Linked DNA regions of Lepisosteus oculatus. The protein of the gene in region 4 binds, or shares a complex with, the protein of the main gene of each other region. Links are inferred from orthologs where the notes say so. Each region holds a gene or a part of one and is shown on either strand. Other genes may lie near its edges.

Evidence for each region.
Region 1: ppil2 (region 4) and armc7 share a complex: the UniProt entries of both Homo sapiens proteins name them as parts of the minor spliceosome. The link is inferred for Lepisosteus oculatus from reciprocal best matches to the Homo sapiens genes PPIL2 and ARMC7.
Region 2: ppil2 (region 4) and snrpd1 share a complex: the UniProt entries of both Homo sapiens proteins name them as parts of the minor spliceosome. The link is inferred for Lepisosteus oculatus from reciprocal best matches to the Homo sapiens genes PPIL2 and SNRPD1.
Region 3: ppil2 (region 4) and srrm1 share a complex: the UniProt entries of both Homo sapiens proteins name them as parts of the minor spliceosome. The link is inferred for Lepisosteus oculatus from reciprocal best matches to the Homo sapiens genes PPIL2 and SRRM1.

The regions. Positions count from the first base shown.
Region 1 is NC_090704.1:32,755,804-32,764,005, forward strand, and holds the start of armc7 (armadillo repeat-containing protein 7), read left to right. Parts: upstream 1-5,037; 5' UTR 5,038-5,123; coding exon 5,124-5,125; intron 5,126-5,643; coding exon 5,644-5,741; intron 5,742-6,030; coding exon 6,031-6,174; intron 6,175-7,121; coding exon 7,122-7,459; 3' UTR 7,460-8,202. UniProt on the Homo sapiens protein: As a component of the minor spliceosome, involved in the splicing of U12-type introns in pre-mRNAs.
Region 2 is NC_090705.1:41,557,828-41,565,757, reverse strand, and holds snrpd1 (small nuclear ribonucleoprotein Sm D1), read right to left. Parts: upstream 3,300-7,930; 5' UTR 3,177-3,299; coding exon 3,163-3,176; intron 2,682-3,162; coding exon 2,605-2,681; intron 1,951-2,604; coding exon 1,759-1,950; intron 783-1,758; coding exon 706-782; 3' UTR 562-705; downstream 1-561. Other genes in the region: sacm1lb (phosphatidylinositol-3-phosphatase SAC1-B), read right to left, coding at 7,927-7,930. UniProt on the Homo sapiens protein: Plays a role in pre-mRNA splicing as a core component of the spliceosomal U1, U2, U4 and U5 small nuclear ribonucleoproteins (snRNPs), the building blocks of the spliceosome.
Region 3 is NC_090706.1:4,187,182-4,194,658, reverse strand, and holds the start of srrm1 (serine/arginine repetitive matrix protein 1), read left to right. Parts: upstream 1-4,227; 5' UTR 4,228-4,275; coding exon 4,276-4,296; intron 4,297-5,643; coding exon 5,644-5,733; intron 5,734-5,986; coding exon 5,987-6,109; intron 6,110-6,408; exon of another isoform or gene 6,409-6,536; intron 6,537-7,406; exon of another isoform or gene 7,407-7,477. Other genes in the region: ncmap (noncompact myelin-associated protein), read left to right, coding at 266-530. UniProt on the Homo sapiens protein: Part of pre- and post-splicing multiprotein mRNP complexes. As a component of the minor spliceosome, involved in the splicing of U12-type introns in pre-mRNAs. Involved in numerous pre-mRNA processing events.
Region 4 is NC_090717.1:1,804,241-1,811,523, reverse strand, and holds the start of ppil2 (RING-type E3 ubiquitin-protein ligase PPIL2), read right to left. Parts: upstream 3,336-7,283; 5' UTR 3,120-3,335; coding exon 3,088-3,119; intron 2,718-3,087; coding exon 2,668-2,717; intron 641-2,667; coding exon 595-640; intron 515-594; coding exon 452-514; intron 1-451. Other genes in the region: bri3bp (BRI3-binding protein), read left to right, coding at 6,030-6,209. UniProt on the Homo sapiens protein: Has a ubiquitin-protein ligase activity acting as an E3 ubiquitin protein ligase or as an ubiquitin-ubiquitin ligase promoting elongation of ubiquitin chains on substrates.

The DNA.
Region 1 (8,202 bases), on a different chromosome or scaffold from region 4:
CATATAGGTAATAAAAACATTTTGGCCACACACTAATTATTCTTGCTGAAAAGTTAAGGAAATACATCTTACAATGTAAAACTAAAAATTTTAAAGCCATTTACCGAGAAGTGAAAAAAGAAAACACTTGAAGCTTTTCATAGATGTTGTTCCTGACCTTGAGGCTTTCATTTTACATTAGTGCACTACTCAACCTTGTAATGGCGTATTACAAGGAAAAATATTTTCTTATCTTTGAACTCTTAGGAGTCAGTTTAGTGATATACTCCTTCCTATACATCATTCTCGTCACAAAAGTATCTGGGAATTCACAGAAAATCTTCACTTGCCAGGTTTGCACAAAATATTGTTGAGAGATTGAGCAACTCCACAGGAATTGAGGAGCTGGCTGCCAGGTTGTCTGTACAGCAGTGAGAAGCTCAGCCTTTCCTACAGACAGGACATCCCCTGAGCTCATCGAGAAGCCTGTCTCTTCTCTGCCAGCTCTCCCATTTGCTTCTGCCGACGCTCCAGAACCTCTGCCAGCTTTTCATCGTATTTGGCCTGTTCTCTGGCACGAATCTCTTCCACTTCAGGGAAAAACTTGTGTCTGAAAATATAGTTAGTATTGTCTTTTAAATTATTATTTTGATGATGATGTTTTGCATTTCTGCAAACATAATGAACCTCCAGTAGCAATATAAAGACCCAGCCATAGCTAAAAAAAAACGCTACAGTGCTACTTGAAAGTTTGTGAACCTCCGAGTGGTTCATTTTGACTATAAAATTTTTGTTTAATCAAAACTAGTCCTCCCTAAAACAAAGGTTTATGTCCACAAATTCAATGTATTGTTCAGAGGAATTTATGCATGCAATAGAAAAAGAAATAGGAAAAGAAGATTTAGGGCATGTGCTAAAGTAAGTGAACCGCAGGTTTCATTAGCTCAGTCAACATGGTAAGTATAACCAGGTGCTAAAATAATTGGGTACCAAGTTAAGCAATCAAAGAACCAATCACCTGAGCAAAGTCAGTTTGGTGCTGTTCATACAGAGTAATGTAATGCACCATCCCACAATCTAAAGAGACCCCAGACAAGCTCAGATGAACTCAGGAAGAGTGTTGTCTGCTCACCAGTCTAGAGAGGGTTATAAAACCATTGCAAAAGGTTTTGGAATTCATCAGTTTACTGGAAGACAAATAGTCTATAAATGGAGAAAATTTAAGGCCACGGTAACTCTACCTAGACGTGGATGTCCTTCCAAATTATCCCACAGAGCAACAAGAAAACTCATCCTGGATGTCCAAAAGAACCCTAGGACCACATCCAAGCATCTCCAGGCTTCTCTTTCTGCAGTTGATGTCCATGTTTATACCTCAACAATATGACACAAGCTGAATAGCAATGGTAGCCAGAAGAAAACCTTTGCTCTAAGAAAGGAACATTGCTGCACATCTTAAGTTTGCAAAAGACCATCTGGATGATCCTTTAGGTTTCTGGAAGAATGTTCCTCAAAGCAGATGTGAAGGACTTTACTAACTTTAGGAGCTATGACTGCAACCAAACAATTCCTAAAGGGTGTACCACTGCTAGCTGAATTAACTTTCACTTACTTTTGCACACAGGAATCTTTGAGCTTCTATTAAATAAACATGCTTTATTTAATAAATAATGAATATATGTATGCATGTCCATTATTTGGGTTATATTAAATAAAAATTGGAGTGCAGATAATTTTCTTAAGAGTATAGAGAGAGATTATATACTTGATGCTGCTACTATAACACTGCTACTTTAGTTACGTTTCCTGGTCCACCATTTTTCACACTTTAATACATATATACAGCTCCCCCTAAAAGTAATGGGACAGTAAAATCATAACTGTTGTTTTTGTCTTACAGTCAAGCAGTTTGAATCTATGATCATCAGATTAATATGAAATTTCATGCATATATCTGACTTTAACTTTAACAAAACCATACTTTGTGTTCAACCCAGTAATTTCAAGGTATCAAATGTATTCTAATACATTCACGTTAAGTAAATTTCAGAGTATAAATGTTAAGTTGCATTTCCCAAAATACATATCTCAAACCTAGTGAGTTCTCCAAATTCCATTTAAACATTTGAGATTCCTTTTCTAGATGAATTGAGGTGTTCCTGTTGAAAGCCTTCAGCTTCAATAATAATAATAGCTTACAGTTGTATAGCACTTTTCTGGACACTCCACTCATTACCATCACAGGTAATAGGGTCTCCCCTCCACCACTGTGAAGCCCCACATGGATGATGCGACGACAGCCATAGTGCACCAGAACGCTCACCACACATCAGCTATCAGTGGGGAGGAGAGCAGAGTAATGAAGCCAATTCATAGGTGGGGATTATTAGGAGGTAAGGTAAGGAGAAACGCCCTGGGATTTTTAATGACCACTCATTAAACCGAGAGTCCTCGGTTTTACGTCTCATCCAATGGACGGCGCCTGTTTACAGTATCGTGTCCCCGTCACTATAATGGGGCATTAGGACCCACATAGACCGCAGGGTCTGCCCTGTCTCTCTCACACCTGAAGAAGGCTCCACAGCCGAAACGTTGTGTTCTCTTTCTTCTTTTTTTCAGCATGGAATAAACCTATTACTTGTTCCTTTGCAGCCTACGCATGCTGACGCAGCTACCCACCTGAACTACTACCGCCTACAGCTGCTGCGACCCACTATGCCTTCCTCCAAATCTTTTTCTAGATCTCTTCGTCATACCTTCTCTTCCTCCCTGGGCCACTTGCCCGCTTCTCTCAGCTGATAACAACCCGGTTATTGATGTCATTAACAACATTAATCCCAAACAGAGCTGTTGGACTCCCTCCTCTGGCCGTTTTCCACCAGTTGATTATTTCATTAACCAATGCACTAATCAAGCTCCCAAGACACTCTCTATACCCAGTAAACATAGGTCTAACCTCACCCAAGGAGAAAATCAGGCGCTCCAGTCTCTCCGCAACAGGGATGATATCGTCATCAAACCAGCGGACAAAGGAGGTGCTGTTGTGGTGTGGCGTAAGGATCTATATATCTTTGAAGCCTCTAGACAACTAACTGACACTTCTGCCTACCTCCCTCTCCAACAGGACCCTACCACTGACTACCAAAAGGAAGTGGTATCCACCATTTCCCTTCTTATCAGCAGTAACGAGCTCCCCCAGGAGGCGAACCGGCTCATCATGGAACATCCACAGGTATCTCAATTTTACCTCCTCCCCAAAATCCACAAACCGGACACCCCTGGACGCCCCATCGTATCAGCATGTAACTGTCCAACTACTTACATCTCAGCCTTTCTCGACAGCCTCATGAGACCGCTGGTTGAAGATCTTCCCTCATACATCAAAGACACCAACCACGCGCTCCAACTTTTCAATGATTTCCAATTTCAGGGTACCGAATGCCACATTTTTACCATGGACATCACATCTCTGTACACCGTCATTCCCCATAATGACGGCCTTACAGCACTCAAGCACACGCTGGACAAACGCACAGTGCTTGATCCACCCACCCACACCCTGGTACGCCTTGCAGAATTGGTCCTCACACTGAACGCATTCTCTTTCAATAATCTTTTTTACCAACACACTCAAGCACACGCTGGACAAACGCACAGTGCTTGATCCACCCACCCACACCCTGGTACGCCTTGCAGAATTGGTCCTCACACTGAACGCATTCTCTTTCAATAATCTTTTTTACCAACAGGTCATGCCATAGACATGATTATGATTATGCCATAGACAGGGCATAGACCCTGCTGGCCCCACTAACACCTCTTCCAGCAGCAACCTTAGTTTTTCCCAGGAGGTCTCCCATCCAGGTACTGACCAGGCTCACACCTGCTTAGCTTCAGCAGGTTGTCAGTTGTGAGTTGCAGTGTGATATGGCTGCTGACATGAGAGGCTTTCTGATATAAAGGTCAATCAGCTGCTAGAAGCTCGGTGATCCGAGGGTCTCATCCTGCCATTTCGTGGAACAAGCCAGGTTATGAGCTTTAGCTAAATGAGCTGGTAGTCTGCGCGAGAGTCCCACAACCAGTACTTGAACTAGAACCAAGAACTCTGCCAAGGTCAATAAACCATACAAATGATCAAATCCATGAGTTCAGTGAGCACATTCCCAGGTCAAAAGTAAGGCAAAAATAAAACACCAGACTATTTCGGTCAACAAAGATCAATGATTTGTTACTTCTGCAAGAGCGATGACTTCGTTCTAGCACTCATAGGAATCCAAGGTTATGACTTTCTACAAAAGGATAATAAGCTTCCCGGAACATCCCAAATGGTATATATAAATACCTTGAGTATTTTGCAAAGCTCTTTAATTTGCTATTCATCACAATAAATGAACAATGTTGCATAAAGTAAAAAGCGTTTATGAAAATATATCTGTTCGTCCACACTAATACACACCTGTTAACAAAGGCGATGGACAACCCAATGAGGATCGTCCCAAACAAGACCGGCTTGGCAAACCGCTTGCCGGCAGACAATTTGATCTGTTTCATGTCTCTGCTATACGAAGAAATACCTAGGCAAAAACAAAAATGAGTGCCACTTTCTACCTTAAAAAAACAGAGCAACTAGCTTCACGCTTCTAAAAAACAAAACGCAACTGCGCTCTCCTCCTATAAGCTCCGGCATAGAACACATGACTCAGAGAAACAAAGTTCCGTCCACCAGAGTACAGCCCGAGTTTTCCGTTTATACACATCTGCAGCTATATACGGTTTGTATATGCAATCGCATCATTGTGCAGTTTACACCCGCTACAAAGACATTTTGAATTTTATAACTTGTCCTCTCCTCCCATTAATAAGAGATATTTAATTACAGTTTTCACTGGTTTATTTTGTCATTAGATCTTGTAGTTTTGTGGAACTGGAATCTAAAAGCCAATGCGTTTCTGTCGATCGGGGGAGAACGACTAGGACAGGAACGGAAGTAAATACAAAATATAAAAATTAAGGTGTGTGTGGAAGGGGAAGGCAAAGGTGGATGAAAAATGGGTCGTCGATAGGTAAATAAAATAGTTTAGTGTAATAAATGTATATTTTTTTATAATGCAACAAAATATCTAACAGACTAGCGTAGCTTTTAAATGTAAGTAATTTGTTTTTTTTACTTTTCAGTTTGGGCATTATTTGTGGTATAAACACTTTTGCTGCTAATCCGACACCAATATGGAAAAGCTTTCGGTTGATCGTAAATTTATAATAAAATATGGATCCAACAGTGTTCAAATTCTAACGTTTGAAAAAAAAATATGACACTTAAAATCTGTGCAAAGAATTCCGTACCTCCCTCCTTCCCTGTATGTGAAATTGATTTAAATGTGTATCCTGTATTCATTCTTGAGCGTAAAGAAGTAATTTGTTTGAAATACAGCAGTATCTTTCATGATTTTTAAATACTTCAGTACAACTCCATGTAATCTCTTTGGTTCAAGTAATATATTTTAAATTGAGTTTAAATTATTTTGCATGCTCTGCTTTGGTGTCTTTCTAGTGTGGCAAAACGCTGCTTTTCACAGTATAGGACACACTGCCTTAATTTAAAGATCAAGATAGTTCTGAGGATTATGCTGTCTATGCTGAAAATGTTTTTTTTTTTTGCTTTAGGAGTGTGATGTTCCCCAAGAAAGGTGACTCCCAGGGACTGGACAGATTTGAGTATCTGCAGGCTCTGGTCACAGAGTTCCAGGATACTGACAGCATTGGTATGAACTTCTGTTTCTTTTAAAATATGTTATTAATTTTTCTGCACCTTATAGGCACTGACCAGCAGGCGGTGTTTGTAGCTCTTTTATTAAGCATTGTCAATGAAACAAAATCATGTGGAAACCATGTTTTCGTAGGATTTCAAGTAACGTAGTAGATTAAAATATGGGTTACAGCGTTTGAGATGCACCGCAATGGTTACAAAAATGTTGTCCACATGGAAATATGTGTTGGTTGAATTATTGTCTATTCAAAATCTGTGAACGTTTATTTCATTTTCACGTTTAGAAGCCAAGACACAAGTATTGGCAAACTTGGCCAACTTCTCCTATGACCCCAGCAACTATGAGGCCCTTCGCAAGCTTCAGGTGATCGACCTGTTTTTGGACATGCTCACAGAGGACAACGAGAGCCTGGTGGAGTTCGGAATAGGTAAGGAAGACTTTGAGAAGAAGATAGAAATGAAGAAGAAGAATGATGATGAAAAAAGAAAGACAGTTCTAGAAATCAGAATCAATAATATGTCTTCGTATAACTTAGTATAACTGCAAACAATTATTAGATTATTACATTAGGGCATTTTCTGCAAGAGATTTCTAAATGGCCAGTGGAGAAATGTGTATATATATGATAATGGGTACACATGTGCAGGTGATACAGAAACTTCTGTTATAGAAAAAGGTGTGGTTCAGAAGGTTGTGCAGGTAAGGTGCTTGGTGGTCTTATTGTTGAAAATCATGTTGTATAATATGTTGATTTTTTTAAATTAAGAAAGAAATTCTACAAACCTATTTAAAGAGTGTGTATATATATATCCACAAATAAACTCCATATTTCATAGTTTTTTTGTTTGCCTAAGTTTAGTGTAAAAATCCTCAACTAACAGTAACACCAACAAAAAGACCTTGCACTCCTCACACTGATAACATGCAAAAGGTTTTTTAGAAAAGATGTAAACCCAAAATACCTTTATTATATAATCCTGACCTAGTTTTGTCACCTCGACTTTGACATTTTGAAACAGTTAAATCACCTGTAAAGTAGGAAAGGCTGTTGCTGTTTCTCTCCTAAATATAGCAGCTCGTCGGCAAAACACCCAACCATGAATGGATATTTACTACAGTTAGTACTGTTCGGGTACTTCAGGGGCATCTTTGCAGGTGAAAAACTGACTAACTTTCCAGTGTTCCAGACAGAATGCAGGCTGTTTATTAGGGGTGATTACATATATGGCCCTGCATGCCATAGGTTCGCCATTGCAGCACTATAGGTTGGCACTCCTTGAAGCCTAAACAATGTAATAGAGAAACTGAACAAAATGCATCACAATTAACCTGATGCTTTAGTACATTTATTTAGCAATTTCCATGTTTTCACAGGGGGTCTGTGTAACCTGAGCCTGGACAAAACCAACAAGGAATACATCCTGCAGAACGATGGTGTGAAGCTGGTGATTGGGTGCCTGTCCAGCCCCAATGAGGAGACAGTGCTGTCTGCCATCACCACTCTGATGTACCTGATGACTCCTGCCTCCCGCGAGGAGATCACCGATATCCCCGTGGTGGAGTGCATGCTGCGCTTCTCCCTGTCTACAAACCGGAGATTAAGCAATCTGGCTTCCGTCTTCCTGCAGGACTACTGCACTGCGGAGAAGGTGCAGAGAGCCCAGAGCCTCCAGGGACACTCTGCTGTGGGCATCCCACTGCCTCAGGATTAGATCTGCTCTGCTCCTAGTGATGCCACTGTCTTCTGGTTTTTGTTCTAGCCCAACTCTAATTGAACTAATAATTTGCATATTTGGATATACCATCTAAACTCCTTACAGTTCATTCCTCTCCTAACTGTCTCCCTGCCCTCTTCATCTGACTGCTGCTGCCCCTGAAGAATGTCTGTCAAGCCAGGTGTGTCCAATTTACTCCAGTTAAGGAAAAGAAACTAAGCCTCACCTTGTTCCATCACATTGTAGAAGGTCTTGCACACGAGGAGATGAGGAGAAGTGGAGAGGATTATAAAGAAAAGAGACTGAAGATAAGTGGGAGTACAATGGTTGAGGTACGGTAGCAGTGTGAGATTTGGTGCTTCAAATTGGACACAATGCAGCAGAGAGCCAGCAGAGGGTTGGGACCAGTGAAGCAACGTGAGAAAAGCAAAGAAGAGCAAGCGCACAGAGCAGCCCCAGCATTCTGGATGAGTGGGAATTGGTAGATACATTTAGCAGGGACTCTGGCCAAGAACTACTAAAATAGTGTGATGAACACAGGATCACTGTAAATCTGTCAATAGCACTTTTCTCTATAACACTTCACACTGATGTGTTCAGTGCACAGTGTAATGTCCAGTAGAGTGCAGCATTGTCATTGTTTTCCTTCATATCTGCAACCTCCAGTTAGAATATGCCTGTATTGATAGAACTGTTTCCATACTGTTTAAATGGGTTTCTAAGTGTCCTATACCATGTTT
Region 2 (7,930 bases), on a different chromosome or scaffold from region 4:
ATCTAGAAGCCACAGACCTAAAGGATACTGCTTAGTCACACTCTGTGACAGCCAAGGTCACTCTTTCCTGCCCACGGCATGCCTTGCGTTTGAATCAGTGTCAACCTACCTGTTGAAGAGCCTGCAATTCCAACAATTCAACATTGAGCACTCTGTAGTGTAAAACATTCTCTGGACAAGGATCTTGCACAAACAAGGAATGTGCTTGAAATCCAGTTTTAAAACCACCTGCCACTCAATTTTCGAACAAATCCAAGATTAAAAAAAAAAGTATTTAGGACTTAGAAAATGGGCTGAAGAAATGCATTAGAGATTGACCAATAATGTTTAAACCCTCCCTGTGCGTTTGCACACAGACAACTTACAAGGGCCAAGCCTGGATTCATCAACAGGCCCCCAACAATACAAGCCAGTCCCACAGCTCAATGCCAAGAAGATCCGTCTCGCTTAGCAAGACACTGCAAACACTCCTCTCCATCAACACATACAGTACAGAGCAGTATCTATCCCACCCAAAGGAAAGATTAATTGTAAGTGTTAAAGGTTAAACAGGGCGCCATGTTATCAGGAATATGGTTTTTATTAGATATAAAAAAACAAATGGGAGATCATCCACAACATTTTCCTGCGAAATAAAAAAAAAACTGTACAGACAGCCTCTGCCGGAGAGAGGGAGAGCACTTGCAGCAGCAGCAGTGAGCGAAGTTATCTCCTCGGTCCTCCTCTGCCTCGCCCTCTTCCTCGGCCTCTGCCCCGTCCCCTGCCTCGACCGCGGCCGGCCACTGCGAGAGAGGACAGACACCAGTCACCCGCCGTGCCGCCTCACGGCCCAGCCCAGCCCGCGAGCGGAAGAGCAGGAGCGATGCACACCAGTAAAACAGCGAAGGGGGTTACACACGCCGAGGAGAACCTGTCCACTGTTTGTGCAGACGTCCAGATACCACGGAAGAAAACCGAGCCGCTCTTTAAAGATACCGTGAGGGTTAAGGAAAAGGGGCACAGAGACTCTCAATCATTACATCCACATATAAACTATTTTCACGCAACTTCCTGGGAATAGCTCAGGAAGTAAACTCTCGTTATAAACTACGACAAGTACAAACCCATATTACCACACCTGAAACGTCTGCTATAAGATGACTTTAGTTTACTTTAAGGTTTTGTCAGTATATAAAACATAGAAATACTTTGAAATGCCTCAGTTTTTTTGCACCCCAGTGAACCACCCCAAAAAAAACAAGCAGAAACTTAACTTCAGGCAATGAATTACTATGATGGTTTAGTCTTAGCAAACTGATTTCATTTTCATCTACATAAAGAGGCACCAAGAACGTCTAAGGCAGTTCCTAGCACATGCAACAATATTTTCTTGGTTTACACTCTGAGCTTAGGAAGTTGAATGTATTCAACCAAACAATGAGTCTTAACTGAAATATGATTTTGTACATGAACCGCTGCTCCAACTGTCCTTTCAAACAACCTCAACAAGAAACCACACATAGGACAATTTAAACCCAGGAACAGGAGACACTTCATTACCCCAAATACACCAAGGGTAGCGGGAGTGTGGAACAAGCCGGCCACCATGTTGATCAAGCCGATACCCCGGCTTCTCTCGAGAAACCTCAAGAAGAGATCCTGACCTCCTCTCTTTTGGGAATATGCTTAAGTTCTTATTTAAAACTGCGTGAAGAAACGCACTTCTACTCCGAAGATATATCTGACTGCTGAGGAAAAGCATCTTCTCAGAACTCCTACCTGCTTCCCTCTTTTTGGACTTGACCTTCGGCTCGATGTCGACCAACAGGGTGTCGAGAGGCAGGCTGTCCGGCAGGATGAAGTAGCGGATGTTGTTTCCACGGATGCTCAGCGTCTCCAGCTGGACAGGCTCCCTGTTCTTCAACGTCATTTTCACAGCTTTCAGGTGAGTGTTCATGCACACATCCACCCCTGCGCAGCACACGAACACGGGAAAGGGGGTGAGCTATCCTACTCATGGTCGCACAAAGAACACTTGGTTTTCTGACCAATTAGCCCACCTTTCTCTCCTATGACTGGCTGAAGGTTAAAGTAAATCTGGTATGAATTCGCTGTCGGATTGACTTTTAAATTGATCCCCAGCACACAGGACACGCATTGAGGTCTGAACAGGAAGCACCCCCAAAAGATGGCAAATACTTTTATCCCCTGCACCGGGTGATCCCTGACTGCAGGTTATTGCAGCAGGCAAGTAAACAGTTTTTCTCAGGGATCGACTATCCTTAAACAGAGAGATGCCCGAGTATCACCCAGCAAAGCCAGTTAGTACATGCTCATGCTCAACACATTCGTGAGAAGGGAAGCTGTTCTGGCGAGGGATAAGCTTCGTGGATTTTAAGGATCACTGGGGCATGGAGCCTCTGCCCGGCGGAAGATCGATCAGATCTTTTCCCGGGCTCGGAAGGACCCTCCATCCAGGCGTGCTGCGAGAGACAGCCCGTTCCCGTCTCGAAACGAGACAAAGGACCGGATGGTCCAGCTCTCCAAACCCACAGCGTTACTGAGGGAAACCGACCCAGTGGGCTTCTCGAGAACAAACACCGCAACAAGAGCCGATCCACCTACCAGTGATGGTGCCGTGGACCTGAGTTCCGTTCTTGAGCTCTATGGTGACGGTTTCATGGCTCAACTTCATCAAAAATCTGCAAAGGTGGGAGGGAGAGGGGAAAGTCAGTGCATAAAACACCCGTCAGGTAGCAAGAGGGACGAGCACCGTCCCGCACCGGGAGGCTAACCAGGAAAACCGAGTCGCACCGACCGGATGAAAACACGTCTCCGGCGGGCCGGCGCTCCTCTCCAGCACGTCTACGGTGCTTTGTGCGGAGAAATTAAAGAGCCGCGCTGGGACTCGACTGACCCGCCGCTTCAACACAACCGACAACAGGCGCGGATTTCGGATTGCAGCAGCCGACGCGAAACGGCGTTTCTCCCTCCCACCCCCTGGAAGCCGTTTGAATCGGCCATTCATTTCACCCCTTCCCGCCTCCCGCGTCTCCCCGACGCGAACGGCGCTTTCTGGAGCTGAAAACAACCCACAATCTGACTCCATCCTCGGCAATCCCTGCGCTTTTACACCCTTTAGCGACGCTGGCCCCAAGATCGAAACACCCCGAAACGTCTTACCGCACGAGTTTCATGCTGGCGGCTGATGGCGAGAAGAAATCCCCCACCGGAGTAAGACAAAAAATTATACACGAAACGATACAGCGACGCTGGGCCGTTCCGGCATTAAATCGGAAACTGACTCGGAAGTGAAAGGCAGCGGTGACCCGGAAACGCACCGAAGGCGCTGAAAGACGCAAAGAGGGGCCTCGGGCGTGGGATGGGGATGGGAGGCTCAGCACAGCGCCACCGTGTGTTTCATTACTCAGTGGAGGAACAAGAAGACGGCGCCCTCTTGCAGGGTGTCTGCCGAGGACGAAGCTGGGAGATTCGTTTCGTTGCTGTGGGTGGAAACGTGTTATCGAAAATAAAGCACAGTGCACTAGTGTTTTCGAGATGCGTTTCCTCTCGAAATGTGGAAGAGCCGTTTTTACGCTCGTAGGTCTTATTACTCGTCTATGCTGGTTGAAACACGGTGCCAAGGGGTAACAGCGCCCATAACTTTCAGGTGATGTGCTTCCACGCCAGCAGCTATAAAAGCATAAATATTTGCCTAACCCTTCCTCTGTGACTGGAAACTTTAAAAATACCTTATTGCCATATATCAGTTGTCAAATGTTTATCAGTTTTACCATGTAGAATACATTTATTTTCTGTTGCAGCTTAACGTCTGTTCCATCAAGATGGGGCGAAATGGCACAACCATGCAGTTATTATTCTCTGCAGTTATTAAGGACTATAATGAGAAATTGGGACTTTTTTTCCTGTGCAGTTTTGAAACGACCACATTAAACTTGCTCTATTTGTTTTAGATGTGATGATTCCTTATAACGAGCTTGTCACGGCTGAATCGCTTACAAAACAAAAAGAAGCCAGGTTTTGGGCACACACAGAAGACAAATCAGAAGTAAATGACTACAAATGTCTGTTTTTCATGAGAATTTATTAATTCTGTCAAATAAAACATACCACTTAAAACATGGAATGACAGAAGTGAGAAAACGATATTTTGGTATTGCAGACAGCCACAACAAAACATTTTTAAAAATCATTACAATTTTGAACACACTGGAAATATTTTTTCTCTACCCCTTACCTTGAATACATTAGGAAGAGAACTGGCTTCTTAGTATTTATGCACAGCAGACATAATAGGATCCATTCTATCATGATGGCTAGAGCTATCTTGACTCTTTTGTACTCAGCCAAAGCAAATGGTAATAAAATACTTCAGTAATTAGGTAATGGTCATTATATTATCTTATCCACTCTCAAAAGATATTAGATCAAAGCAGACAGGCATATAGATGTGTGAAAAGCATGGTACTTGATCTGTCAAGAAAGAAAAAGCAGCAAGCATGCAATAAATATACAATGTATAGTCAATGATGTAGCATTTGGATTAAATCGTGTCACATGCATGGTGATATGGCCAGGGTTATAGCCGTCATTAAAAGTTTCTACTTAAATTTAGATACAAGATACAACTGTAAATTCCAAACAAACAGATGAATTTCCTGCACATCAAGTAACCTGGGCACATCCATGCAAATCTCTTGCCATAACCATGTTAACCTGACATAATTTGAGAATTTATTCACTTTGGACGAAAGTTCCTGCAATGATCATGCATTCATTCTATGACAATGGAATTAAAGCTGTGGCAGTTCCATTTCTTTAAAACAAGGCAGAAAGCATACAGTCCGTCAGCGATACAACTGTGCACCGTCTCCAAACTGGGCATGTGCAGAACAACACTGAACTACAAATGCAAAGCTATAGATAGAGGCTCTAGTCTGTAAAGCTAGTCTCAATATCGGTGCACTGTACATGTACCGACTGCTCAGACTTGTGGATTGAAACTAGAACATCTTCCCAAATAGGTTTGGATGTACAAAACATTTTAATTTTAACTTGCAGTGTTGAAGTTACAATTAAACCATTATTTCATTAAAGATAGGTGACCTTTGCACTTAGTTTAATCAAAAATTACCTTTAAAAGACTACTCCCATTTTCATCCCTGACTTCTACTGTATTTTATAACTATATAACTCTGTCCATGACATGTAACCGCAAGAGGAAGAACAGGGGTTTGTAAAATATGAACGCTAATAATATACCAGGTTTGTCATTATTGAAATGAAATCCTTATTCTTCATTTATATGAAAATGTTTTTGTCTTACATCTGAATAATGGAATGGTTTCTCAAGTTCATTACAGGAAAAGCACTAATAAAACAGCAATGACTGAAATAGGAAATGAAACAGATGTTGATCTATTAATGACTTTATTGCAAAGTTAAAGACAGCCCTCCCTGTAAAACACTAACCAAGTGTCAATATTTAGAAATCAACTAAATCTAATGAGACAAAGTGAAATATAATATCCCTAATCCATCTCTCACATTATTACCAAGGTAAATATACAGAATGGTGAGCATATCATCCACTAAAAGGACATAAAAGAATGATCAGAAATGATTTTACCAATATCCACTACATCTGCACAAAGAGCTGTACAACAACTCAGGAGTCATATTCTACAGTATAAACAGCAATGTTCCCTTTAAGGGCAGTAAAGCATTTGATCCAGATGAATTGACATGTTTTGTAGCAGTCATTGCAATACAACATGAGTTTTAATATTGTTTTCTTTCTCTAAATTAAGTCTACCTCAACCACACTGGAGCAAGTCATTTTCAAATATAGCTTTGTATACAGAGATGTGTACTGTGTATGAAGTGCAAGGAAACTGTCCAATACATAATTACAAGGAAATATTTTACACAATAAAAAAAAAAAGATCTGAAAGTCATTTGTATATGTAGACAAAGATCGCACTGAAAACAAACTTGAGGGGGAGCAGGCTGGTATTCTTTTAACCTACGGGTGGATCTGTACCTCTGTCCACCTAAAACACAAATCCCCACAACTCTTTTGTTTTTCTATTGAAAGTATCTGCATCATGTTAAAATGCTTTTTTTTAAAAATGAAGAATTTCCATGCAAAAAAGAGTAAAAGTAAGTTGTAGGTTATTTGCACCAAAGGTTAAAACAACTTGATATCTCAAGTCTGTGATTTCCTATTTAAATTGCTAAGGTACTATTAAGAAAAAGCTGACCTGGGGAAAAAAGTACATACAGTATAATGAATGTGTTAACACTGTTAATATTTTATGGTTTGGACCACTAAATTAAAAGTGGAAAAACACATACAAGGCATGTTAACCAATTATACATTCTCTGATTTGTTAAGACCATCCTGAAGCCCACTTATCAGAAAGAAACATTATAATTTACATTATTAATATATACCATAGGTCTATCAACACTTTCCCCATTGTTCAACAGCTTGTAAGGCAGACATTCAAGCTGAAATCTGATTAACTGCAGAGCTGAGAGCACAATACAACAAGACAAAACACAATGACAATGCAACCAGTCAAAACCCAACCCAGTGGTGTTAAGTCCAGCAATCAAACAGAACATTTGCAAAAGCAGACAGACCAGCCACACTAATGTGGCACTTTACATGGTTAAAATGATTTGGTCCGATGGGAACTTTATATGATCTTAAATCTGGCAATGTTAATTTTCTACAACTTAAATTCATACCCAGTTTTGAGGTATGATGATTATTGTCTCAAAGGTTCTAGCAGCAAATGTTATTCTTCTGTATTTTGTGTTACTCCTAGGAACTTTACTTCTTGTTAAAGAACTTACAAAAATAATCTCCTACAAAGTGACTGTGCAAAGAACAAAAATGTTCAGGCAATGTTCAGAGACACCTGTGAAACCTCACAACTCTCAGGAGTTTGGGATTTTCCCCCACACAGGAGCTCAAATGTAAAAGGACTGTTTTACTGGAAGATTATAAGGTATAAGATGGTGAAAAGGGAAAATGTATTCCTTCTTTCACCTTGATTTCATTCTGGTTTCCTTTCCTTTATTATTTTGGACAATCATGCAATTATTTTTTGTCAATAAGGCTTTTTGGTATATCCTCTTCAAAGTAATTAATTTAGTTAAAACAAAGTAATTACATACAGACAAGGAAAACTGCACTTTATCAAAGTATTCATGTAATTTCTACCGGGACACTACAAATGTCTTCCGTCAGTATGTTAATTAAAAAGGGTGTTAAACCAGCGACAATGCATATACTGAATGCTGAGACCATATAAAGATCCCATTAAAGGATGGAATATAGTGTTCTCGATGCTAACACTTCTTTGTAGATCTGGGTTAAGGTCCATTCCCAGTTCCTGTTCAGGGATTGTGAAAAAGAAATTGGAATTGGGAATTGATTTGAATCTGAAAGAGTGAATCTGGAAAAAAAACCTGGAATTGACTATGGCCCTGTTATACACCTTGTTTGGCGCAAAAGCCAACCAAGACTGCAAATTCTGCTCTGTGTAAGAAGTGTGGGAATTGCAAGAGGAGAATAAGTGCTGCGGTACAATCTGCTGGAATCTGAACATCACCTGTAGAAGATGCTGCACGTGGGTGAACAGCAAAACGGAGCGGTTATTTAAATCTCGGACGGTGTCAGACACTGAGGAGGGGTTTTGTTTTCCGGATGTATGACGCTTCTTTTAGATCCCCACACCCCCTAAAACACCCAAAGACAGAAACTGTTTCTTGATGGTAAAAATAAAACGAAAGAAAAAAAACCCAACGCTTATGAGGATAGCCTCCTGCCATGGTGTGGAGAGCAGGTCAGTACAAACTCCAGGCCTGCAGGGAGGAATCGCGGTAACCGATCTGCTTTCCACACGCACACATTCAG
Region 3 (7,477 bases), on a different chromosome or scaffold from region 4:
GCGAACTTGTGCTAAAACCTGCATTTGTGTGGGGCTTAAGCAACAGGATCAGTAACTCCTGGGGTCTAGAATAAGTACAATATACATCTATTCTGCTCCGTGTGATTTGTCAAACAGACACTCAGTCTGTTTCATTCAATTTATCGGTTTTCCAGTTTCTCTGTTACATTAGACAAAAATTAAAAACTGCAGTAGAAGAAAATTTAGTCATTACCTCATAACCCGAACCAGAATTGTCTCCTCTTTTTGTTTTTTCCCACTACAGGAAAACGCGTGTCTCACGGGTACTGGGGACAAGGTCTCGCAAGAAGATGTGGTCCTCAACAGCTCAGACCAACCTGCCCATGGGGAATCTGGGCAGCAACAGCTGTGCTTCAGGAAGCCAGTATCGAAATGAAAATGGCATCACGGAAAACGAATTTAGACTCCCTAGGGTGGAGATGCACCAGAACGTCTTTGTCCTCTATGCCACAGACACCGAGCCTGTTCCGGTGTCTGTGCACAGCTCCTCTTCCTTGGAGAACACATAACATCTCAGCAGCAAAGCTGGTGGAGCCGTGGAACAAGTCTGAAGTCTACTGGAACTGTGCAGTTTACTACGTTCTTAGGATACACACTCATAACTGAGCCAGTACTGAGCTGCTCGGTCCTCGGTCCTGTCCTTGAGAGCACTGCATTGGAAAACTCCCATGCTGTTTGGAAGGACGCAAACCAGACACTTAATAGAAGGCAAACAGGAGTTGAAATCTTTAAACCTGTGAGCAACAGGGCTAAAGTGCTATGATACTCTAGTGTTCACCAGCAGTGTTTCCATGGCTGTGTATCCAAGTGTTGTGCATACTAGTAGTCAATGAGTGTCGGACTCAGAAAGTGGCACCACAGAACTTTTCTAGGTTTTGTGAACTTTATTGTTCTCCTTTCTCTGATCTGTAAAAGCCCTCATTGTTAAAACGGATGTATGTAGACAGTGTGTGCAGTGTCTCGATTGGACCGCAATGCTACTGAGCTAAACAGTTTCCTTTTTGAAACCCAGAAGGCTTCAGCCCTAAGTTAGACCGTGGGTCTCCATCCCTGGTGCAGGGTTTTCTGGGTAACGACTGCAGTATGTCACAAACTTTGAAGAACCTAGAATAAATTAACTGTGATCTATTAAGCAAGACACGTGTTAAAAGTATTAACAAGTTAGCAAAGATTGTTTGGGTCAAAAACCTCCATTCAGCGCTGTTTGGAATCTGGTGTTTTTTTGCCACTCTTAGGTTAAGAAAGAGACCCTAAAATAAGTTTAGGATTCTGTTGTATCTCTTAGGCTTTGAAAAAAGGTTGGACACACAGGAGTGATTTGTTTCAGAATTATCTGCCTTAACGGAACAAATTACTTGCTTATTTCATCTATAACTTATAATTACCATATTAACATTCCAACAGTCCATCAGAAAACTGCTTATTCTTGTTCAGGGTCACAGCAAACTGGAGTCAATTCTGGAGTCACAGGGCCCAGGGTGGGACAACACCATGAACAGGCCTTCCCAATCCTTAGAAACAGGCGATTTAGGATTAGGGTTAGGTTAATAACCTGTAATTTACACTGTATTGGGGCACTCTGGAGGAAGGTTTAAGTCCTTTCATTCAGATGATGTTTAATCTGAGCCTTTTCAACAAAATCAAGGATTTTATCTCCTTTTTCTCCCCCCCCTGGCTGAAGCATTCTTTCCTGGTTGATGTTTTGTTCATTTTTTGTAATTGAAATGACCTTGATTTCCATGTAATAAAGCAAATCATGTCCTCTCTACTGTTTCTCAGGCCTGCGTTAGGCAGGTGACAATAGCCTGTAATAAAGTGCTTTAGAGGAAGTTCTGCATCTATATAGACCTTTATGTAGGATTTACGTTTTCAGTTTTTGTAATGAAATGGGAAACGTTTCAACCTGCTTTCCTGGTGAAAGTCTGGTGATCCTGATATTGTAAAAAATGACTTTACTTGCAATGCTTGCCGGTGTTTTGAAGAGGAAGGAAACTCATAGGTACAGTATAAGTAAACCTAAAATGAAAGCACATGGCTATAACTGTAAAAAGAACCTTTATACATCAATACAAGATGTTGCTTGTGATCAACTTGAGCCTGGAGATTTTTCTGACATGGTTATGTATCCAGAACTGCTCTCTGGCATCAAGAAATGTCACTAGACTGAATTATTCAATATTTACTGTATATGTATATATAATTGAAATCAATGTCTATGCAATGATAGTGTTACATGTTCCTATAACAGGCTGGATTTGATGTCGAGCAATTATGCTTGCTTTCTGCTGGTGTTGGAATAATAAGCCACAGTAAGAAGTTTTGTGTCCTAATTTTTAAGAAGAATAAATAAATGGAGCTTTTATTTAAAGTATGGCGTCCTCTCAGAAAACATATTGCTTTTATAATAAAGAAATTGCGTTATATTGTCATAAAAATTACACTTTACATATGTAACTGTCGTCCTAGAAGGCTTGATATCCCCACTTCCTTTGAAGAGAAACCTTGTCTTGCTTTGCATCAGCTTCCAATGCTATATTCCCGACTATATCGGTATTTCCCTTTTTTGTTTTACTGACATTTGAGAGATTTATCATTTGAACTATTAATCCAGACATCATAGCCCATGTATGATTTAGGGTAGATGCTTGACCTTATGTAAATGAAACTCCCAAAATGGCAGCACATGAGTGAGCCCTGCCCAGCTGGGTGGAGCTTGAGTGGCCAGCAGTTTCCCTGGTTGGTGCACAGGAGTAGCCCATGTGACTTACAGGTTGGCCAATGAGCTTTTTAGAGCTGTGACACTCCCCTCAAAGCTGGGTCTGAATGAGAAGTGGACAGCTCAGGATCAGTGCATGTTTCAGGGAGACAGAGATGGCCTCCTCTCCTCCATGCTAGTACAAAGGGTGGCGGAAATGAGCCATATTGACTAACCATCAGAGATTCCCAACAGGTTGGGGTGGAATATTTCAAATCTAACAAAAAATAATTCTAGTTATTGGCTAGATTTATAAGAGCTGAGGACTTCCAGTTAATCCTTTATTATTGGGGAAAACTACAATTGTTCAATGTCCAGGTAGGATCTCTGTACTCCACGGACTACAAAAAACATGGCTTTCCAAAATGAATTCCAAAATTCTTAACTCCTTTCCCCCCACATTTGTCTTTTTCTAGAAACAAAACATCCTGTCATTTAAAATCATGTGCTGTGTCTGGGTGATGTTAGACAAGTTATACCTGCTATAAAGTATGTGACAAAGCTCTGGATGATTATGTAAATACGGAAACCAATGTAGCATTAAAAGATTATTTTCTGTGGGAAGATTGAAGTCTGATTTAAACTCATGGAGGATCTGAGCAGTGAGGACACCTGGGTAAACATCAGGGGTTTCTGACAGCATCTGCTGCACTGGAACTGTATGACTGTGGAACCCAGAGTGTAGGCACAGACATACACAGAGGGAATCACGATTCATACGTCATCCCTCATCATTGGCATCGTCTTGTGAACCTGTTAATAAAAGATCTACCAATTTGCCATTAGTTCTGGAGCTCTGCTGCTACACCGTGACTCACACTGCTGCTCCGAGCTGTGAGGCTCATGGTCTTCAGGGAGTCCTCATCCCACTACAACACGATTTGATTGTTTTGTATATCATGATGCTGGAAAGTAATGCATCATCTTCAGCACATTGACAAGTTTGTAACACACTCAAAGCAGAGTGATTTTGTGTATGGAGCGCAAATAACCTTCACAGACCTGCCTGTTCATACCTGCATTGCTATCAGTCTGTTGAGGGTGAACTCATGGGAATATCGACATTTAGTTTTGTAAAAAAAAAATCACGTTTTGGAACATTTTAGTGATATTTGCAGTGAACCTTCCATCTGTCAAATAATAACTGTAACGGTGGTGTTATGGAGTCGTTTAGGCGTTCAACTTTAAAACAGCTGATGGCCACGTTTCAGAGCAATTGGCGCTCCTTGATAGGTTTGCCCGGGAGTTTTGGACTCTTGAGAGTTTTGTTTGGATTTGCAAACGACGGTGTTAAATGTGTTGAGGCGCCTTGAACCTGCTGTTTAAAAGTTCCGCGGAGAGCCGAGCTCCAGTGCCTGAGGTGTAAACGCATCAATAAAGTTACGCCGCCTGGTGGTTATTTATGGTCCTACACGAAGGGGGGGGGCTTCTTCCTGCATTGCATTGTGGGAGTCGTGGGCATTTTTCTTTCAGAGACACATTGCACATTTCGGCAGAAGATGGACGCGGGTTTTTTCCGCGTAAGTACATGTCTTCTTTTTGGCTAAAAAAAAAATGGAATTTCGAGTTTATTGTTCTCCTTATTGCAGCCTAGGCGTCCCCTCGGCTCGGTTTCCGGAGCCAAAAGCGTGGCTTATCCAGGAGCATTTTTTTTTTCCTTGTGTACTTCATGCGCCATCCCGGAGCAACGACATGCAATGGGAGAATAAAAATGGCGGCTGTATGTGAATTCAACCGGGGATCAAAATCATTCGTTGAAAATGAATTGGAATCTGTATTGTCTCGTGTTGTGTTGGGGGTGCAATTAATAAACGCGCACATCGTTTTTGAGGATGTTCTTTCTGTACTTGTTAATCTTTAAAAAAAAAAAACCTTCAGAGCCCGTGTAAGGCCTGTGTCGACAAGCAGTCAGCCAGGGTGCAGGGCTCGTTTGAATAGACTATGCCCAGATCCTTCAAACGTTGTGTTCGTGTGGCTGCGGAGAAATGTTGAGTTCAGGAGTTGTTGTTTTTTTCTTAATCTTGTGTGCTGGAAAAAAAAAACCCTCAGCGGCCTATAACGGAGAAGACAAAACGCGATCGGGTATTTAAGCGTCTTGACCTGTGCGGCAACGTCTACCGCGTCTTCTGGAGAAAAGACAACTTTCTCTGGCTTCGCCTCGCCGTGCCTGTTCGCTCCTTGGGGACTGAGGTGTTGGGAAGTGACGAGGGAAAGTCACCTTTGAAGTACACGCTCACATGTGGAGGAATATTGCTTGAGAGTCGTGTGATAACCTCGGGTTTTTTTTTAAAAAGCTGCTCTTAACCAAATCTGTCACGCCTCACGATGTGTGCGAAATGCTGACAGACCCAGTGAGTTTGGGGAGCTCAAACTTTTAAAAAAAAATGTAACTGGGCTCGTCCTTCACTAGTCATTGTCTTATACTGTTACCAGCAGCCTGAAGAGCTTTTCAACTTGATGGCCTTATTCAGAGATCCCTCCCGGAGTTTAGCAGATATTCTGGTTTAGTAAATGATATGGCTGCTACGAAGACTTGTAGGTTTCATTGTAACCTTTTGTTGTTAATAATAACAACAACAATTTCTTGCTTTAGGAATTTGTATTTTCACCTACCCCAGCTTGCTCTCCATGAGACACAGACAGGGAGAGAAGCTGGGGGTCATAGTGCAGGGTCAGCCGTTGTACAGCACCCCTGGAGCAGTTGGGGCCTTGCTCAGGGGCCCAGCGGAGTAGGATTTCTCTGCCGGCTGCGGGATTTGAACCGGCAACCTTCCAGCCACAGGCGCAGATCTTATCCTTAGATGAAATTGTTCATGTGAGCCTGTCCTGAAACCTAAAACCAGAGTCTTTCTGTATTTTCTTACCAGGGCACGAGTGCGGAGCAAGACAATCGCTTCAGCAACAAGCAGAAGAAACTTTTGAAACAGCTCAAATTTGCAGAATGTCTCGAGAAGAAGGTATGTGAGCATCTTCTAATTAATTGTTGTTTCAAAATATTCTTAGAGACCCAAAGGATCGTCCTTGGTCACCTGGGGTGTCTACTTGCGATAGGCTTGCAGTTATATATTGTTTTGCGGTTCTGATCAGAAAACAAGATTCAGTTTAGGCTGTGGACACAAGGTGTCCTCCAGTGTTTTTGAGTTTATTTTTGATTTTGTGGTAGGGTGACTGTTTTGTAGATGTGTGGCTAAATGTCAGCTTTCTTTTCAGGTGGATATGACCAAGGTGAACTTGGAAGTCATCAAACCATGGATAACTCAAAGAGTGACAGAGATTTTAGGGTTCGAGGACGATGTCGTCATCGAGTTCATTTTCAACCAGCTGGAGGAAAAGGTAACGCCGTCGAAACAGTTTCTTCTTCCTCAGATTCTTGTTTTGTAAAGCAGTGAACTAGTTCTTATTTTTTTGTGCAAGAGGCGGGTGGGTGGGTGTGAGAACTAGAGAAGAGTATTTTTTCTAGTTGAGAATTCACTTTTTATAATATAAATTTACTGCTCTAGGAGGTTTTGTTCTGACTGCTGAGGTGAAAGGAAATGAAGCTATATGTATTTGAAAGAAATGTTGCTGTTATATGTAACAAAGTGCCTTTGACAGCAGTTTTCTAATGATGATGTGATTTATGATTTAAAAGGCCTGAACCAATATGGATGTTATTCCTTGCGTCTGAAGTATAGCACCATCACCTAATTAGGTCACAGCAGAGTGAGTGTCCAATGTCGCTCTGACCCAACTCCCTTGATGATGCAGTGTGTGTTTGGAGGTGAGTTGTGTAAAGTGACCAAAAATTCCAGTGACGAGCACTTGGACAGATCCTTACACTGCTAAACCACCTACATTTACCTGTGGCTAGATATTTATAGATGGTAGCAGTATACCTTTTTAAAACCTGTATGCAGTATGCCTGAATTGTTTCCGGTTTGCTGTGTTCCAGTTATGATGGCTGATGGCGAAGACAGCCATCCTTTTTTTCCTCCTTCACTGTCGGGCATGGTGCATGGTGTAAAAAGAAATACTGCTATATTTATTGGTGAAAGGAAAAATACTACATTGAAAGTGGCCTGACTGCACTTTTGATGTCAGATTATTTAGACCTGCTGACAAGGTCTTTTAAAAAAAAAAAAAGTAGCAGTGATATTTATGATTCTTCACGTGTATGCAGACAAACTGATAATGTAGACATTGGTGTTCATTTGCCTAAAGTTGATCTAGCTCCTAGACCCTCTATATCTTGAGTTAATATGCCTTTTGTTTGACCTTTTGACTTTTTGTGTGAAAATAGGCACTGCTTTTTTGGTCCATATTGAGGTATGCTTAAGACTTGTTGATTTGCTTGCCAGGCAGAATAGCTTTTTTAAAAAAAAAAGTCAATGCAAACAGTATGTAAAGCCGATTGTTGACATTGGTTCAAAGTGTATTTTTTAAATCAGACGTAGGGTATTTGCCTTTTGTGAATGCTCAATATTACAGAACACTGCCTTGATAGGGTTTGTGCTAAACTCTCTTGTAATTCTCTGTTGCTGAAATTAAAAGCGAAATTTATTTTTATTTTATTTTTTAGAGTGATTTAAAAAAAATTCAATTCTCTTGTGGCTGTGTACTCATTATTGCTTGTTCGTCTTTTGCAATTTAGATAAATGATATAACATTAAGCTCAAGGTGGTTGAGTTGCAGTAGGGAGGCGGAAGCAAGCCAAGGGAACAT
Region 4 (7,283 bases):
TAAAATCGCATTATATCTGTGAACACGAACGATAATTCAGATAGGGGATTCAAGGGCAGTGCATTAAGCAATTCTGGAAAAGACAAATGTGTTAACCAGCTTCTCTGCTGCAGTCGAAGAGACACAGGATGTAGATTGGTGATATTTATTAGATGGAAGAATGATGTTTTTACAATATTCTGCACATGAATCAAATGTCAAGCCTGGAGCACATATCACCCCTATGGCAGAGCCAGTGTCTTGCGAGGGGTAGCTGTGACTTTTGGGGTGTAGGTACCCATCTAAGGCTGTGCAGCCTCATAACTGAAGCAGGATCCCAGACACCTTTTAAAAAACAAGTGGATGAGATTAATGGATGTTTACATTACAAGCAGCTGTGAAACAGAAGCTTTCATACAAAAAACAGCTCTAGCCAGTTATTAAAGGCTGTGGGAGCAGGAGAAATACTCACAGCAGGTCAAAGACGTGTCCTTCAGGAGTGCACATGGGATACTCGAATGGCTGCAGGGACAAACTGGAAAACAGAAACCGGTGGTTGGGAGAATTCCACTGGAGAATTGGAGAACATTGGAGAATAGAGAAACTTTGCCTCACCTGCAGTGATCAAAGGGCAGGCGCCTGAAATTCGCCTGTGGAATTTCTAGAAAGAAAAGGGGGGAAAAAGGTTAAAAGAACTGCATTTCTATTTTTATATTTTAGGGTGAGAAAGAACCAGCATTGATGAGTTTCAAACCTCAATAAAAAATAAAATGTACCCAGTTACGTGTAAAACCTCCAATTTACATTACAAAACAGACTAAATTTCCAGCTCTGTAGCTCCGTGTTCTGCGATTCAGATAGAGGCAACACAACTTCTGGTGACATGTAGTGGCCCTGTTACACTGTAAAGTAAGCAGGCTTGTGAATACATCTCTTGTCATCCAATGGAAATATTGCTCTCGACTTCCAGAGAGTTTTCCCAACAAAACGGCTAAATTGTTAACTCTGCCTGCAGGTCATGCTGGAACATTTCTGCAGTGAAATACCTGCTGCACAGATAAGTCATTACAGGGACTAGTGAGCAGGAAGGGCTGCAATTGCGTTGCTATTCATGGGAACTCTCACTCTCACCCGTGGCGAGACCAGGGTTTGGCAACAACATGGCAACTTACAGTACTTTCAAAGTTCACATGATTTTGTGCTGAAGTCAAAATTTGCCAAATTTCTCCATACCAGCAAATGAATTGGTTTTGTTACCAAGATTTAATAACTGGTCTGAGAAATCGGGACTGCAGTTCCCCTTTAAGTAACTGTACCATGTACTGTATTTTAGAACACAGTGTGTTTGACTGCTTCCCTCCCCTGGTTCTAGTACAGTTTTAGACTTAAGTTTAATTTCCCACTTCTTAATCTGGTTATGAGAGTTGGCTAAGTGGGTTTTTGGAGTTTCAGGCCTCTATAGCACAGCCTCTTTGAGTGACAGAATTTACTCCTTCACATTCTGCACAGCTCACTCCTGACTGCCTTGGAAACCGAGGTTCGTGTATGATCCCAGTTTACCGTTCTGCTTGTCTTATTTCACTCCCGTTTCCCTGCACTTCGCTTCAGGGCAAATAAAGTTAAAAGTGACTCGCTGAGCTGTCGTGTGAAGCTGTCAGCTTTGAAAACTGGATAAATGGAATAATGTTTTCAGCGTTCTCCAATGAAATCTGAAATTGGGAGGATCACAACTGTGAAAAGACTAAGGTCAGTGCTGTAAACCTGTCAGTTGATGGCAATTTGCCTGAGATTTAACCCAAAAGAATGTGGGGTTACAGTCTAACCTGCTCTAACTTTTAAACTGGATGTATATTATTTTTCTACCTTTGAAACATTGCCTGGCTGTTGTGTACATGCTGTATGTTATCTGCTTTTGTTACAGAAAAAAGGTCCATTAAAGTGGTTTTTCCAGGGACTGATTATTCTTACTTCTTTCTAACAGGTACCTCTAGGTCACTTGCAAACATCACCCCTGTTCTGGAGTCCCTGCACTGGCTTCCTGTACAATTTTGAGTTGATCATGATGTCTGCTTCCATTCAGGGCTCCATAGTATGACTGCAAAAGGTTTGACTGCTTTTAAGTGTCCATCACACAGGACCTTCATCCAGTTGATTGCAGTTTTATATGTCCCCTGTTCATGCCCAGTCTTTTTAAATCCAGTCACATTTTTTAGACTTATATGACAGTTACATCTTCTACTGTTTGCTTTGTTTTTCCATGTGGCTTTGCAATCGGATTTTAGATTTTTATTGCGATATGTGATTTTTAGGAGCTGAACTTGGATTTCAAGTTAGCTCTAGGATGTTGAGATGGCAGATATTGTATGCACGACATAGAAGAAGTTTACTGAGAGCTTATAGCTTAAAACCTGCACGTAAAAAACGATGAGAGTAAGTCTGGGCGAACAGCATAATCATCCACACATTTAAAACAGGGTTAAGTTTGCTTAGCTGCACAGTACAGACAGCTGCGAATGACACAAAGACGGCATAAAATACTGCAAAACTCAGAAAGAAGCTAGACAAAGCGAGTGACCGCCTTGCCAGGGAAGAAGTAATACAGATACTGATGCTTTTGCTTCCCCTCACACATGAAATTCCGCTGCAGGACAGTAAAGACGTAAAGACAGACGAAACATTCACCGGTACCTGCTCTTTTGCCTCCGTAGAAATGTGTGTATTCGGAGCAGGTGATGTACCTGAATACAGACGAAAATAATCACATACCATTTTCATTGTGATTTCAACGGCAGTTTCAGACTTGAGGGTATATGAAAAACGACACAGGTTACAATAATTTAAAATAGTAACGAATGCTATACGATAACATGGAAGACGATATTGTTTTTCACTTTGTCTCCACAATATACTATTGACCAACGTATCATTGTATTAATTTGCATTAATCCTAACAATAATATAAATCCCTGATTTTAGGCAGCCTCGGCGACCATATTAAAATTTATCTTAACAGGCTTATGGAACCAATACTGAAACAAAACCTTAAACACCAGCATTTAACGGAGATCAGATGCATAGTGGTTGTAATTAGGACGCAGGTGAACTTACATTTTATCTTTCTGATGCTGTCTTTTCCCCATGACGGCGGCGGTGTAACACGCAAATCCAGGAGAAAAACCACTTGCGGGTAAGTTATCTAATCACTTCGACCGATACTAGAACCTGTACAAACACTGGAACACTTGTCTATACGGTTTTTGAAAAAAAAAGACACACAAACGCTCCCGACTTCCGAAAACACACCAATACGACATCAACACCCTTCCGACACGCAACACGAAGCCCAGCAGAAGTGGTTCCGCCTTATCCTTAATCACAGCCGTAGTAATTTAAGGACATACCACTAGTAGGCGATATAATTCCAGTACAGTTTACCGGCAGAATTCATTTAAAATTACAAAATATCTGTGGTTATCGATGCATTGTTAAAAAAAGTCGACTTTTGGATGTATTGTAAAACCATCACCGACAGAAACCATTTTCTTTGGTAACCCTTTTTGTTGAAATAGGCGTGAAAGGAACGCAGCAAAGAACGACATTTGCTTTTAAGTTAGGCCTAGCTTTCAAATGCCAGATCTTTTCTGTACTGAGTATGTAAGCTTTAAGATGACAATCACTGAGTAATGTAATAATACAACCAGAGAGTCTTACTGTGCATTTGACTTGGATTAAAGTATTTACACTACAAAAGGTTTATTTAATTATTTAAACTAATTTAATTTAAAAATATATTGTTCGTTTGCGTTAAAATCGCGTTATACCAGTGAACACGAAAGATACTCCAGCCACATGATTCGAGCTGACGTGATGGTTATATAACGCTGTTCTCACTCCGTGTGGGAGAGTGTAGCGCTGGGGGCAGTTTAACTCGGTGTCAGGAAGACTAGACGTTTCCAGAGGTAGTGCGCTGACTTTCCACTTTTTCCAAGGCCTCTAATAATAATAATAATAATAATAATAATAATAATAATAATAATAATAATTCCATAATGTGGATCCTCTCCACCACCACCAGTGTGCAGCCCCACCTGGATGGTGCGCCAGTCCGCTCCCCACACACCAGCTCTCAGTGGGGAGGAGAGCAGAGTGATGGAGCCAGTTCAGAGATGGGGGTTATTAGGAGGCCATGATTGGTAAGGGCCAAATGGAAAACTAGGCCAGGACTCCGGGGTTACACCCCTACTCTTTTCTAGAAACGCCCTGGGATTTTTAATGACCACAGAGAGTCAGGACCTCGGTTTTATGTCTCATCCGAAACACTAGACAAAGAAACAGTTCGTACAAAGTCCACACTGTTATAAGGGCAGATTCTGACAAGGGCTTTAATACAAAAGGAGGCTAAAAAACAAGTGTATCACAATCATTTGTTACAGAACTGACAAGAATGGACTATTTTAGGCAATTGTGTCAGAACATTAGAAAGGCCACAGATGAGAGTCTTGCAGTCATTATTATATCTAGAGAGGAGCCCCTCCTTTGTATCTAATTTTGAAATGTTTCTAAAAGGCATACAGCCCCAGCCAACACAACATGCAACAGACACATACAACGTCTCTCCAAAATCTATTTCACCGCAGTCCCACAGACAGGGTGAGAACACACAGACTCCATACAGACAGTCCACAGACAGGGTGAGAACACACAGACTCCATACAGACAGTCCACAGACAGGGTGAGAACACACAGACCCCACACAGACAGTCCACAGACAGGGTGAGAACACACAGACTCCATACAGACAGTCCACAGACAGGGTGAGAATGCACAGACCCCACACAGACAGGGTGAGAACACACAGACCCCACACAGACAGTCCACAGACAGGGTGAGAACGCACAGACTCCACACAGACAGTCCACAGACAGGGTGAGAACACACAGACCCCACACAGACAGTCCACAGACAGGGTGAGAACACACAGACCCCACACAGACAGTCCACAGACAGGGTGAGAACACACAGACCCCACACAGACAGTCCACAGACAGGGTGAGAACGCACAGACTCCACACAGACAGTCCACAGACAGGGTGAGAACACACAGACTCCACACAGACAGTCCACAGACAGGGTGAGAACACACAGACCCCACACAGACAGTCCACAGACAGGGTGAGAACGCACAGACTCCACACAGACAGTCCACAGACAGAGTGAGAACACACAGACTCCACACAGACAGTCCACAGACAGGGTGAGAACACACAGACCCCACACAGACAGTCCACAGACAGGGTGAGAACACACAGACTCCACACAGACAGTCCACAGACAGAGTGAGAACACACAGACCCCACACAGACAGTCCACAGACAGGGTGAGAACACACAGACTCCACACAGACAGTCCACAGACAGGATGAGAACACTCAGTACGTACAGACAGGTTCCCCAGGCTGGCAGATCCACGAAGTTGTGCAGAATCAGTTATAAATGTCACACAACTGCGCCATTAACCGAAGTTAAAACAGAAACCCGACACAATAAGCCCGTCGTAATTTGCCGTTTAAAAAATATTAGCGGTTTCTTAAAAAACAATTCGGTACATTGACATTCACGTTGACCAGATCATTGTGGGTGCTGCACATTGGTTGTGGTGGAGGGGTGTCCCCATTACCTGTAAAGCGCTTTGAGTGGAGTGTCCAGAAAAGCGCTATATAAGTGTAAGCAATTATTATTATTATTATTATTATTATTATTATTATTATTATTATTGTAAACACTCAACCGAAACATTTAGATTTACAAACATTAAAACCAGATTTTTATGAAGCGGAAAGGGAGTGCTATTCCTATTCTCAACGCCAGGTGTCAGAGTTCACATCTCTGCAGGAAGGCGGAAGTTCTGAATACATTGTAACCATTTCGTCGGAAACACGTTCTTCCGGGATTGCTGCTGTGGTGTCTTTTTTTTTTTTAACGTACAGCTAATTATTTTACCTCTACAGAAAGAAAAAAAAAATACGTGCATACTATTGATAGTCATAAGTCATGAAGGTAATTAGGTTGATTGCCATAATCGCCGTTCTCCTCGCATCCCTGCAGTGTGTAGAAGCGGCTCGGAGCCGGAAGGATTCCAGCAGCCAGAACAGTTTTAGAAGGGCGGCGAATGGTCTTTACCAGACCCTGAGTAGCATCTTCGGAGAGGACAACATCAGAGCCTTGCATAAGGTCAGTGCGCGTGTCCCCCCCGGTTCTCGATCGACGCACCGTTGCGCGAGATACTGTGATACGAGGGGTCAGGATCGCGCGGCGGAGACCGACGGGCATCGGTTGCCATTTTGATCATTGATTCGCCAGTATTGATTGAATGAGTCGGGCTGGCCCGTGAAATGCGTGCATGGATGTACCCAACAATGTGAAATCTTTTTTTTTAATGCACTTTATTATTGCTTCCTTTTTTTAACGTCCCCGACGTTGCAGGGCTGAGGACTGTATTGATTGTTTTCCGATTTCACAGCGTTGGCAGCTGACCTGGAAATGCCAATATACCGCATCTGAAGTTCCAAAATACAGTTCTCTGAGTGCCGTTCTCAGGCATACGCTAAAGCGCCTACGAGGAACGGGGAAATTCCCTACTGGATTGAAGCTGTGATGTCATTGGGAGTAATTAAGATTCACGGAAAACTTCGGGGGGTTGAACGATTTTGTCTCGTCTGAATCGGTCAAAGGCGGAACTGTCTCTCGCGTGATGTCTCGCTGGCGGCCCTGTACAAATCGGAAACAACTGAAATACTTTACATCTTGAAACCATCACGAGACTGGGAAGCATTGGGGACAAAATCGAGCTTCACTGCAGTGTTCATAAAACTAATATTATTGTTTTTATTTAACAACAACAATAATAATATACATCTTGCCGTGCCAAATGACTTACAAAACGGTATCAGACCAGGGTCCTGTATGAGTAGAGAGCTGATAGATGTTAACGAGAAGCCAAGCTAATTGACCTAATTAAATCTTGCTTCACCTGCTAGATCGAACCCTCAGGAGGTGATAATGTCTGTGAGGGGCCAGGTGTGGGGTTCACTGACTACATTAGCCAATTGACCTGGTAGTCAGTGAGCATTGACTGTCTCATCTCAGCCAACCACAGGACACAAACCTGATCAACTGAGTTGAAGCTCGTTTAAAATTAAGAACAGGTGATGTCTTTACACAGAGGGTGGCGGGGGACTGGAGCAAGCTGCCCAGTTATGTCGTTGAAGACCGCATTGCAAGAAATAGCTGGATGACATCCTCGGA